Linked DNA regions of Arabidopsis thaliana. The protein of the gene in region 1 interacts with the protein of each later gene in a pairwise test. Each region holds a gene or a part of one and is shown in the gene's direction. Other genes may lie near its edges.

Region 1 (3,413 bases):
TTCCGAACATAAACAAAAAATGTGTTGAAATATATTATATTATATCTAAAATAAAATAAATAATATAAATATTATTATTTTGGCAAAAAAACTATATTAATATTGTTTTAAAGAAAAAAAACTTTGTAGCTAAAATGATAAACATATATAAGTGATTTTTTTTAACTTACATATCTCGTTAACGTTTTTTTGTTTTTTCGTTAACGTTTATAATTTGTAAGAAAGATTTAAAAATGAAATATTTTCATAAATATTTAAATATTAGATATTTGATCCGCGGTTTGGGCCTGTAGAGAATCTTAAATTCATTTTTTTTTTCTGTTTTTATTTTCAATCTTTGAGCAAAACAAATAGTTAATGATGTTATAGATTCAATTGTTTAACAAAAACTAACTTAAGAAATTAATTTAATTGAATGATTTTTTTTATAACTAAATTGAATGATATTGCAAATATCTATTTACAACATTAAATATATTTGTTACTATAATGATGTTAGTGTAAAAAATATATTCATTGTTGCACCCAAAACATTCATAATTAAATGTTAGTTTTAAACTTGGCAATCGAAATTTTATATTATTTTTCTTTCAAATCGCTCATATGATGGCAGGTTAACCAAATATGTTTTGCTTGTCCGTTTTTTTTTTCTATCTGTCTCCAATTGTTCAAATAATATATACGAGATATTGAAGAAATGGTTGAGAGAAAAAAATGAAATGGTTGAGAGAAAAAAATGAAATGGTTGAGGTTTATTTAAGAAGGAGAAGTAACGAGAGTGTGCATGTATCCACAAATAACCCAAATTAAAATAGTACATCTAGCTATAAAAAACGTCCCGTCTCAATGAAGTAATCAGACGACGGTCTTATGTATTTGGGTCGATGGCGAAGCTATTCGATAGAGAGTTCAAGATCTCTGATCAGCACATGTTTATATGAAAGATTTTGGTGCATGACTCCTTAAAATATGTATGAGTATTGAAGAGACACGTAACTCGATAAATATATGCAAACGTACGTTCTAAATATCACATCAGAAGCTAGCTTGCACAGTGTTACAAGCCGGTCAAAACAAATTTCTGACTAGAAACATTTTCTTGCCCTTGCATGGACATGTCCATGCATGTTGTTGATATAATAGAAAGTTTATCTTGTTCTCAATCAAAATAAATAATTCTTAAATATTGAAATATGTCATTTTTGTTCGAACTTGTAATAGGAGTTTTACAGTTCTCTTTTCCAACTAGATAATGTTTTTCCAATTTTAATGCAATTTGTTGTATCCATAGCTAGCTTGAGAAGAAAAATAAAATACTAAAGATTAAGAACTGCCGTTCATGAACAAGAATGACACTATTCCCCTGCCGTTCTTAGAATTTCAAGAAAGAGCAAGAAAGCAAATATAAGAAAACAACAAAAATATATGTTTTCTTCTGTCTAATGGATGTGCGTAAATGTGGAACACATAAATATAATAATATAATGGAAAATGAGTAAATAAATTGTTAGAGAAAACCATGGGACGAAGCAAAATCATCTTCTTTGCTTCCCGCTCAATTGTTGGAACTTTCAAAAGAAGCTTCTTGTATCTCCCCTATATATATATAGCTTATGGCTGAACTAACTAGTTTATCCTTAACCCTCCACTTTTCACTCTTTAACAAACTCAAAATCCTCAATTTAGTCAATCATCAATGGAGAGAAACAACCGCAACGAGGGGACTCACGAAGAAGAGCAATGTTCGCTTTCTGATATTATTTATTCGTTTTGTTCAGAAAATCATAGTGAATTAAACCCTTTGCAAGAGATATTCGGTGTTACCAAAAACAATGATCATGAGAAACACGACGAGGAGCCAGACGAGGAAAGTTACCGTATGGCTAAACGGCAACGTTCCATGGAATATCGTATGATGATGGAGAAGGTGAAGATGACTTAATCTCCTTCTTCTCTTACGTGATTCCCTAGCTAATTTATATTTTTGCTTTCTAAACTTTGTAGAAAAGACGAAAGGAGATCAAAGATAAAGTAGATATTTTGCAGGGGTTGATGCCTAATCATTGCACAAAGGTTAACTATTACTTAATTTACTCCATATTTTTTATATATTAGAGTCTAATACAATATCAAGTTTCGAATATCGAGTTTCTTGTGTGTTTATCTACAGCCGGACCTTGCATCGAAGCTTGAAAACATCATTGAATACATTAAAAGTTTGAAATATCAAGTAGATGTAAGCATTAAACTATATCTAATTTAATTTAGTTACTTGTATCCATTAGAGTATATATGTTCTTATGTGTTATGTGGATGTGGTCCAGGTTATGTCAATGGCATACACAACAACTCCGGTTTACACACCACCATTTTATGCAGCAGCTCAAGCACCATGTATGTCTCCTTGGGGCTATTATACGCCAGGAGTTCCAATGATGCCTCAGCAAAACATGACCTATATCCCGCAATATCCTCAGGTTTGATCAAATTAAAGTTTAATCTGATTCCACAGATTCTGATTTCTGCCATCAATCTTTTATCACAGGTATATGGAACAGTGCCGCCAAATCAAACTCAACCTTAAAACAAGCTCTAGCTATGTGGCTTTTTAAGACCCTCCGGCTTTAGACTCGTTGCTGTTTATATAGACTGTCTTTGTAAACTAAGATATGTACATAGATACATAAATACATACGTAGTTTTATGTATAACTTTTAGTTTGATGCCACAATATGTAAAAACACCTGTTTTTTATGTTCTGTTTTGGTTGAGCATTGTTCCTCTGTTATTTATGTTCTGTTTTGCTCAACCTTTTTCTTTGTTGAATGTAAGTTAAATAAACAACAAAGATGTTATGTTACGTGTAATAGTACGTTTGTACCAAACATTACTACAACCCTAGTTTGATAATTTTTATCTTGAATCATAGAAAACGAACTAGATCACTAAAATGTTAAATTCAAGAAGCAGAATACATTCATTGGCTACAAATTATCTACACACTTTAACTTTTTTTATTAAAGCAAGAAGCCAAAATAGTTTTATCTTTAAATGTTACTAAAGTAAACAAAAAATGCTTCCCGTTTAACCTCCACAACCACCACCGCAGCCAGCGGCGCAACTGGATCCATTGACATCGTCGTTAGTGTGAGGTTTAGAAGCTCGGTCACTGCATGAGAAAATCACGGCTGCTATGACGGAGAAAGCCACAACAGCTGCCCAAATGTAGAGTGAGACTTCACCATTACCCGCCGCTATTACCGCGAGTTCTCCTCTCACCATTGAAAGAGTTTTTGTGCATCGCTTTGTGACAATTGTTGAGACTAGTTGATAAAGAGAGTTGTAATTGGCATATTTTCAAATGTGTGGTTTTGCGTTTTCGAGTCAGAAGTCACCAAAAAAAAGATGCGACG
Region 2 (4,085 bases), on another chromosome or scaffold:
CTAATATCAACAATAACTGTCACGTTCAACAACCGAGTCTCTCATTCTCATTTCTCCCCTTCACACCTCTCATTTTCGTTCCCCTGAAAACATTAGACTTATTTAAAAACTCTTGTTCGAACTCACTCAAATTTATGGATGGAACTTATTCAAAGTGGTAGACTATATATTAAGTATTTACATGAACAAAATAGTAATCATTTTTCTCTAATTGGAGGATTAATGACTTCGATCCTTTTTTTTTGTCAAACAACTTTCATTCACTATTAAACTTTAAACGAGAGAAGTTCATACAAATTAAAACTAAGATAACATAAAGAAAATAAAGATAGAGGCTCCATAAATTTTCCAATGCTCACCAACAAGAAGTTTGCAAAATTTGCAAGTCTATAGACTAATGACTTCGATCCTTAGTCTATAGACAAGCACATTACCTTACATTAGCTAAAAATCCGAATAAAATTGCACATTTCCTTATCTTATCATACATGATGACCTTGGTTAACATGTCTATTGGATTATAGCTTCTCAAGATATTTGCATGCATCAACATTCCATCTTTCAAAGTTGGTATAATGAAGGGATATATATTTTCCTCGGCCATGATCCGGCTCTTGCATACCAATATAGTCACTTCGCACTTGATAGATCAACGATATTCTGTAATTTTAAGTCCGAACAAAATTTAAGACTAGCAAAAGTGTAAAGCCAACAATATAAGATTGTCTTATTGTTTTTTTTTTTTTTTTTTATGTTATCGGATTGTTTTTTGTCAACTTAATTTTCTAACTGCTTTCACCACAACGACCGTAACTAGTAAGAGAATTGTTTTCTTCTTGTAGACTTGCTCAAACAAATCCTTAAATGCAAAGGTATTCTATATATACACCAATTATGAATTAAACATCCGTATAAGTCCATGCTTTTGGGATCGATACATCACAATGATAATTCTCCTAGTTATTTTTTTTCTTACATTCATAACAATATATACTCACGTCACAACTTGACAAATCTATGATATTTTGTTACTTTGAAACCCAACAAATTTTTGTACCACTAAAAGTGTAAACATATTTTGGTATAAGATTATTTTTGTTATTTGAGTCTTCTTTGTCATGTTTGTTTTTGATATTATGTTTTATTTTTCAACTTGGTATTCTCTAACCGTTTCCTCCAACCACTAAAACAAATTGTTAACCGTTTTTTTAAGAACTTGAACCAATCATAGCGACTGTAACTAGAAAGAGATTGTTTTTCATATTTTAGACTTGCTCAAACAAATCCTCAAATGCAAAGGTCTTCTATACATCAATTATAAATTAAACATATGTATAAGTCCCTGGTTTTGGGATTGATACATCACAATTATATTTTTTCCTAGTTGTACCTTTTCCTTACATTCATTATTTTCTTCACAACTCTATATTATTAACATAATAGATACAGTTGAACCTGGATTTATCTCCCCTCCAAGGATTTGTATAGGTCTGATCCTCTTCTTTTTGTATTGAATTACCAATGACTAAATACAGATTTTAACTCATGCTTAACAGATATAGAGAAAGACAAAGCTTTCTTTAAGCTCTATAATTAGCTGTTCATATCTATGGGTATCAAGACCTGGTTACCCAAAAAAATACTTTATTCTAAAGATGGTTATAATGTTTTATTGGTTGACATTTAATTATATCCATTACTTCTCATGATCCTATATATAATACACACATCAAACTCCTCTCAATCATTCCTTCAATACTCTCACATTACTTATCGGATTTTAATTAAGATTAATTAGTCTATTGTTAAAGTCGCTTAGTGATCAAAAATGGAAGCCATGGGAGAATGGAGCACCGGCCTAGGCGGAATATATACAGAGGAAGCTGACTTTATGAATCAGCTCCTTGCCTCCTATGAGCAACCTTGTGGCGGTTCATCTTCAGAGACAACCGCCACACTCACGGCCTACCACCACCAGGGTTCTCAATGGAATGGTGGCTTTTGCTTCTCTCAGGAGAGCAGTAGTTATAGTGGTTACTGCGCGGCGATGCCACGGCAAGAAGAAGATAACAATGGGATGGAGGACGCGACAATCAACACGAACTTGTACCTTGTTGGTGAAGAGACAAGTGAATGTGATGCGACGGAATACTCCGGTAAAAGCCTCTTGCCTTTGGAGACTGTCGCAGAAAACCACGACCATAGTATGCTACAGCCTGAGAACTCCTTGACCACGACCACTGATGAGAAAATGTTCAACCAATGTGAGAGTTCAAAGAAGAGGACGCGTGCCACAACAACTGATGTAAGTTGTACAAACGTTTTTTTTTTTTTTCAGCCGAAACCATAATTCTAAATATTTTAATGTTCTTGAAACCAAATCAGAAGAACAAGAGAGCCAACAAGGCACGAAGGAGCCAGAAATGCGTAGAGATGAGTGGCGAAAATGAAAATAGCGGCGAAGAAGAATATACGGAGAAGGCTGCGGGGAAGAGAAAGACCAAACCACTTAAGCCGCAAAAGACTTGTTGTTCGGATGACGAATCAAACGGTGGAGACACTTTCTTGTCCAAAGAAGATGGCGAGGACTCTAAGGCTCTCAACCTCAACGGCAAGACTAGGGCCAGCCGCGGCGCGGCCACAGATCCTCAAAGCCTTTACGCAAGGGTAATTTACACATAAACTTTAAAAATTAAGGCTTCGATGTTATTCAAACATGTACACAAATGTGATGATGAGTCTTATGTATATGCATTGTACAAACATAACAAAATTTATTATGATAGCTGAAACAATTAAACAAAGTCCATTGTATGATGGTGCAGAAAAGAAGAGAGAGGATAAACGAGAGGCTAAGGATTTTGCAACATCTCGTCCCTAATGGAACAAAGGTACATATGTCTTTCATTCATGCAAACCTTTTTTTTTCCATGCAAACTTATTTATTACTACGTAACCACATCACTTTTTACTCATTTCGTTTCATGATTACTAAGTAAATTAAATGTGTTAAATATGTATGTATCAGGTTGATATTAGCACGATGTTGGAAGAAGCAGTACAATACGTCAAATTTCTACAGCTCCAAATTAAGGTACGTTAGGTTCTCAATGCTTATAATATAAATTAAACCATAGAAAATATTGTATCAATTAAAGATAGAGAATTAAATATTGGTTATAATGAATAATGTTATGTTATACAGTTATTGAGCTCTGATGATCTATGGATGTATGCGCCTATTGCTTACAACGGAATGGACATTGGCCTTGACCTAAAACTCAATGCACTGACCAGATGATTCAAGAGACACCTTCGGATTTTAATTCTATTTATTTATATATATATATATAATTTAATACTAGAGATATGAAGAGTCACATTTTGACGTTTTATACTCTAAATATTATTTTATATTTGTATGTCGAGTTATGTCCAACAATTTTTTTGATTCTTGAGATATATATTGGTGTACGATCATCGTTTTGATAATGGATTCGTTTATTTTATCTCTTTTTTTTGTTTGAATTATTTGATTCGTTTACGTCATACACGTAAATGATGTAATCAGAATTTAAATTAATACTAAGCGTTCAATATCTTTGGATTGTATGCTTGAGAATTTTATACTCATAGGATACAATTTGGGACTTTAATTATATTTCTGATATTGCGTTCAAAAATCGAATTTTGTTATATCTAATTTGATCTTGCGTTCAAAGACGTGACAAGGTCAAAAGTTGAAGGCAGGAAGAGCCGACAGGTTGGTCAATGATTTGACATTGTTTCAGAACTTGGTATATAAGATGAATGAGTTCCCAAACCCTAAGATTGATTAGTAAAATATCTTTTGAAATTAAAACTTATCAACAACATAAAAACTCTAAAAGTCTCTCATGCGCTGACACATCAGCTTTTTTAAGTGTTCTCAGCATGACACCTCATTAAAATCAACAACCAATCAGAACATTTCGATTAATACACCTTATTTACGTTGACCAATAAAAGCTTACCATTTTTCTATGTCATCTCATCTACTTAACAAAATTAAAATTAGATATGGGTCTAACCCAACCAAACTACTT
Region 3 (3,881 bases), on another chromosome or scaffold:
TATATGTTATAACTAGACTAGATTAAGTTTTGATATGCAAATATCTTCAAAAACTACTAAAGTGTTTACATCACATTTGAAAGCCTTCACCATTTTTTCATTTGTTATGAACATTGTATCTTAGAAGTTAGCACTTTAGAGTTTTTTGCAAGATAACATTGAAAATTTAATGCTTCCAGTATTGGTTAACTAGTCGGTTGCATGTGTAGTTTTCAAAGAAGTGCATTTGAATCCTAGATGTAGAAGAGATTAGGACTCTCTTTAATAAAAATTATATGTACCATTTTGGTTTCTTGATTCTAGAGTTGTATAAGCTGCAGAGTTTAGATATCGATAATTTTATGAATGAATCTTTTTTTTTCTAGGAATTATTGAGCATCACTGACGAAACAGGAGATGAACGCACTGGTTTAAGCGAGGAAGTGATTGATGAGAATCTAATAAGAAGGAAATATGAAAAGCGTAGCGACGATGAAACGAAGAGATGTGTGATCTGTCAGCAGAAATTGAAGGACAATGAAGAAGTTTCGAAACTGGGATGTGGGCATGACTTTCACTTCGGATGCATCAAGAATTGGCTAATGGTCACGAACAAGTGTCCTCTTTGCAACCGAGAAGTCGTTTAAATGTTTTATCAAGTTTGAAAGATTCCGTTTATCTCGTTGGATTTCAGTTTTTTTGTTTCTTTCTTTTGCTATGAACCATAATTACCAATATTTCCCTTTTTATCAAGTTAGAAAGATTCCATTTATTTAGATGGCAAGTTGGATTTTGATTTGATTTCTGATTTTGATTATTATCATCTATATATATATTTTTGCAGCCACTTTGTGAAATAAATTCTGGAGTTGGGATTTATTTACAGCGGCTGTCATTGGCATTTAATAATTGTTTTTGATAATTAGAAAGAAAATCTTCTAATTAAATATTTGACATTTAACAATCTTTCCAAAATCTCTCTACCTTAACTACACGATTAATTACTAAAATAAAACTTCTAAAATATTTAATATCATTTAATTACTACAAAATTATCATTTTTGATATTGCTTTTCTGCATGATTATAATCATCAAACCGTAGAGATATTTGATAACATTTAATTACTACAAAATTACAAAATATTTAGACAATAATTCATAAACATATCATAAATAAGATCACATTCATAAAATAAATGAGTTTTTTTAGAGGACGGGTTGGCGGGACGGGTTTGGCAGGACGTTACTTAATAACAATTGTAAACTATACAATAAAAATATTTTATAGATAGATACAATTTACAAACTTTTATATATATTAATTTAAAAAATAAATTGTTTTCGCGGTATACCGCGGGTTAAAATCTAGTTATTCTTATTTTTGCTATGAACCATAATTATTTTAATTACTATATTATATATATTTCCCTTTGGATGCATTAAAAAAAGGCTAATGATCAAGGACATGTTATCGTCTTTGTATTGACCATTATAATATCTGAATTTTATTTTGTGTTAAATAATCTCTCGAATAAATAATCTTTCGAAATGCATGCAGTTTTATTCACACTTTATCTGTGGACAACAACAACAACAAAAAAGAAGGAAAAAATAGATTTTTGTAATTTGTCAAAAATGGTGAAACTGTTGCGAGACCTTACTTTTCAAGTAATTGTCCATTTTCATGTTTAGTCATAATAATAATTAAATAGTCTATCAATGCTCTATCTTATCAATACTCTTATTTTTTCAACCGTTTCATTTACTGATTTTCATAATTTCATCCCCTCCTCTCAATTTAACTTATCACATTGAAAAAAACAATAAAAATGTATGTTTTTTATTTACTTGGTGGTCCAAAAATGCTTTTTTCCTTTTTTTTATTAGGTAAAAAATATAATATTATTAAATAAAATTGCTACAAAAGGAAACTGTTCACACACAGAGTGATGTGAGACACCAGATTCTGTCTATAGGGATTCGACACGCCACTCGCCTCTTTTAGAACCTCCACGCGCTTCTCTGAAGAACGTGATCTCACGCGTCCTACCTCCCCCGCCTATAAGCTTTACTACGAAAAAGCCACAGTGATAATTTTTACACACAGAGTAGAGCAGAGAGAGAGAGAGAGAGAGAGATGGGTGATTCTGACGTCGGTGATCGTCTTCCCCCTCCATCTTCTTCCGACGAACTCTCGAGCTTTCTCCGACAGATTCTTTCCCGTACTCCTACAGCTCAACCTTCTTCACCACCGAAGAGTACTAATGTTTCCTCCGCTGAGACCTTCTTCCCTTCCGTTTCCGGCGGAGCTGTTTCTTCCGTCGGTTATGGAGTCTCTGAAACTGGCCAAGACAAATATGCTTTCGAACACAAGGTATAAACTTAACTATTCTTAGCTGCAGAGATGCTTCACTTGGCTTTCCTTGTAAAAGAAAACAAAAACCAAAATTAGTCTCTTTTCTTTTTGGAATGGCTAAACACTAAAGAGAAGTGGAGCTAAACAGAGAAATTCGTTGAAGAGAAACATTGATGCTCAATTCCACAACTTGTCTGAAAAGGTTTTCTCTTTTATCTTCCTTTTAAGATTCTTAATTTAGAAAGAAGAAGAACCTTGAGATTGTAGTTGATTAGAATCTGAGTGTTAGCAGAAGAGGAGGAGCAAGATCAACGAGAAAATGAAAGCTTTGCAGAAACTCATTCCCAATTCCAACAAGGTTAATCAATCTTTGTTCGAATCAGAGATAGTGAGAAACATTGTTCTGATTGATCCGTTATCTTTTGTTTGTTTATAGACTGATAAAGCCTCAATGCTTGATGAAGCTATAGAATATCTGAAGCAGCTTCAACTTCAAGTCCAGGTTTTTTTCCTACTTACTATGATTATATACGTTCAAAGTCTGATTTGTAAATTACATCACTCAGATCATTAACTTGATTTACTGCATGATGCAGACTTTAGCCGTTATGAATGGTTTAGGCTTAAACCCTATGCGATTACCACAGGTTCCACCTCCAACTCATACAAGGATCAATGAGACCTTAGAGCAAGACCTGAACCTAGAGACTCTTCTCGCTGCTCCTCACTCGCTGGAACCAGCTAAAACAAGTCAAGGAATGTGCTTTTCCACAGCCACTCTGCTTTGAAGATAACATTCAGACAATGATGATGATCGGAATTCCTCTAGTACCTGCCAGACAGGAGTGAACAATGTTTTGAGTTTTAGCATTGGCCAGATTTCTATGTTCAGTTATAGTTATGCTAATAAGCTTTAGGAGTGAACAAAATCTGAGTAGTTTGATTATAATGATGTCTGAAGCAGATTATATATAAAAGACTAATTTACTTACATATGAGATGATTATTACAACTATCAAATGACTATGTCTGTGAGTTGCATCCATCCATAAGCACACCGGTCTCTACTACTTCGAGTGATTGCTGCTGCTGACTTAACCGCAGGTCTTATCTTCGTCATTGCTTTCTCTACTTGAATTCTCACGCCAACATCCATCTGTTATTTCAAATGGTACCGATAACTTTAGGGATATAGACAAGACAAATTGATATTAATAATATAACAAGGTTGTAAAGTAGAAACCTTTTCTAAAGAGCATTGTGTGTCTAAGATGTGGCAGAAGTATGACAGTTGCTTGTACAAGTCTGCTTCAGTGTACTGTAAAGTCAAGAGTTAGTCTGTGAAGCAATAGAGAGATAGGAGTTATAAGGTTGATGATGGTATATACCTTTCGTAAGAGGGTTCCGTTACAGTTAGGATAGTTTGGGCAAACTGTCCCCCGTTCACGTTCACCGAGTAGACGAAAGTTGGGGGAGCGGGTTGTGTGCTTGCATGACTCGTCTTCACACTGTTGAAGGCAAAATGTACAAGAAAACGTCTTAGCA

The links. Proteins that work in one complex are often made in the same cells at the same time.
Region 2: the proteins of AT1G68240 (region 1) and AT2G14760 interact in a two-hybrid assay, tested with the Arabidopsis thaliana proteins (one large-scale study listed by BioGRID).
Region 3: the proteins of AT1G68240 (region 1) and ALC interact in a two-hybrid assay, tested with the Arabidopsis thaliana proteins (one large-scale study listed by BioGRID).

Annotation. Positions count from the first base shown.
Region 1 is NC_003070.9:25,574,350-25,577,762, reverse strand, and holds AT1G68240 (basic helix-loop-helix (bHLH) DNA-binding superfamily protein), read left to right. Parts: upstream 1-1,633; 5' UTR 1,634-1,696; coding exon 1,697-1,927; intron 1,928-2,004; coding exon 2,005-2,073; intron 2,074-2,170; coding exon 2,171-2,236; intron 2,237-2,324; coding exon 2,325-2,477; coding exon of another isoform or gene 2,478-2,483; exon of another isoform or gene 2,484-2,545; coding exon 2,546-2,584; 3' UTR 2,585-2,899; downstream 2,900-3,413. Other genes in the region: AT1G68238 (uncharacterized protein), read right to left, coding at 3,085-3,282. UniProt on the Arabidopsis thaliana protein: Transcription factor involved in somatic embryogenesis. Acts as a positive regulator of somatic embryo formation. Acts as a positive regulator of ECP63 by targeting its promoter and inducing its expression.
Region 2 is NC_003071.7:6,321,056-6,325,140, reverse strand, and holds AT2G14760 (basic helix-loop-helix (bHLH) DNA-binding superfamily protein), read left to right. Parts: upstream 1-1,743; 5' UTR 1,744-1,828; coding exon 1,829-2,305; intron 2,306-2,385; coding exon 2,386-2,667; coding exon of another isoform or gene 2,668-2,682; exon of another isoform or gene 2,683-2,786; coding exon 2,787-2,891; intron 2,892-3,028; coding exon 3,029-3,094; intron 3,095-3,205; coding exon 3,206-3,301; 3' UTR 3,302-3,554; downstream 3,555-4,085.
Region 3 is NC_003076.8:26,784,575-26,788,455, reverse strand, and holds ALC (basic helix-loop-helix (bHLH) DNA-binding superfamily protein), read left to right. Parts: upstream 1-2,024; 5' UTR 2,025-2,117; coding exon 2,118-2,354; exon of another isoform or gene 2,355-2,466; coding exon 2,467-2,538; exon of another isoform or gene 2,539-2,628; coding exon 2,629-2,694; coding exon of another isoform or gene 2,695-2,772; coding exon 2,773-2,838; exon of another isoform or gene 2,839-2,932; coding exon 2,933-3,124; 3' UTR 3,125-3,350; downstream 3,351-3,881. Other genes in the region: AT5G67120 (RING/U-box superfamily protein), read left to right, coding at 366-626; ICU2 (DNA-directed DNA polymerase), read right to left, coding at 3,352-3,492, 3,580-3,654, 3,725-3,844. UniProt on the Arabidopsis thaliana protein: Required for the dehiscence of fruit, especially for the separation of the valve cells from the replum. Promotes the differentiation of a strip of labile nonlignified cells sandwiched between layers of lignified cells.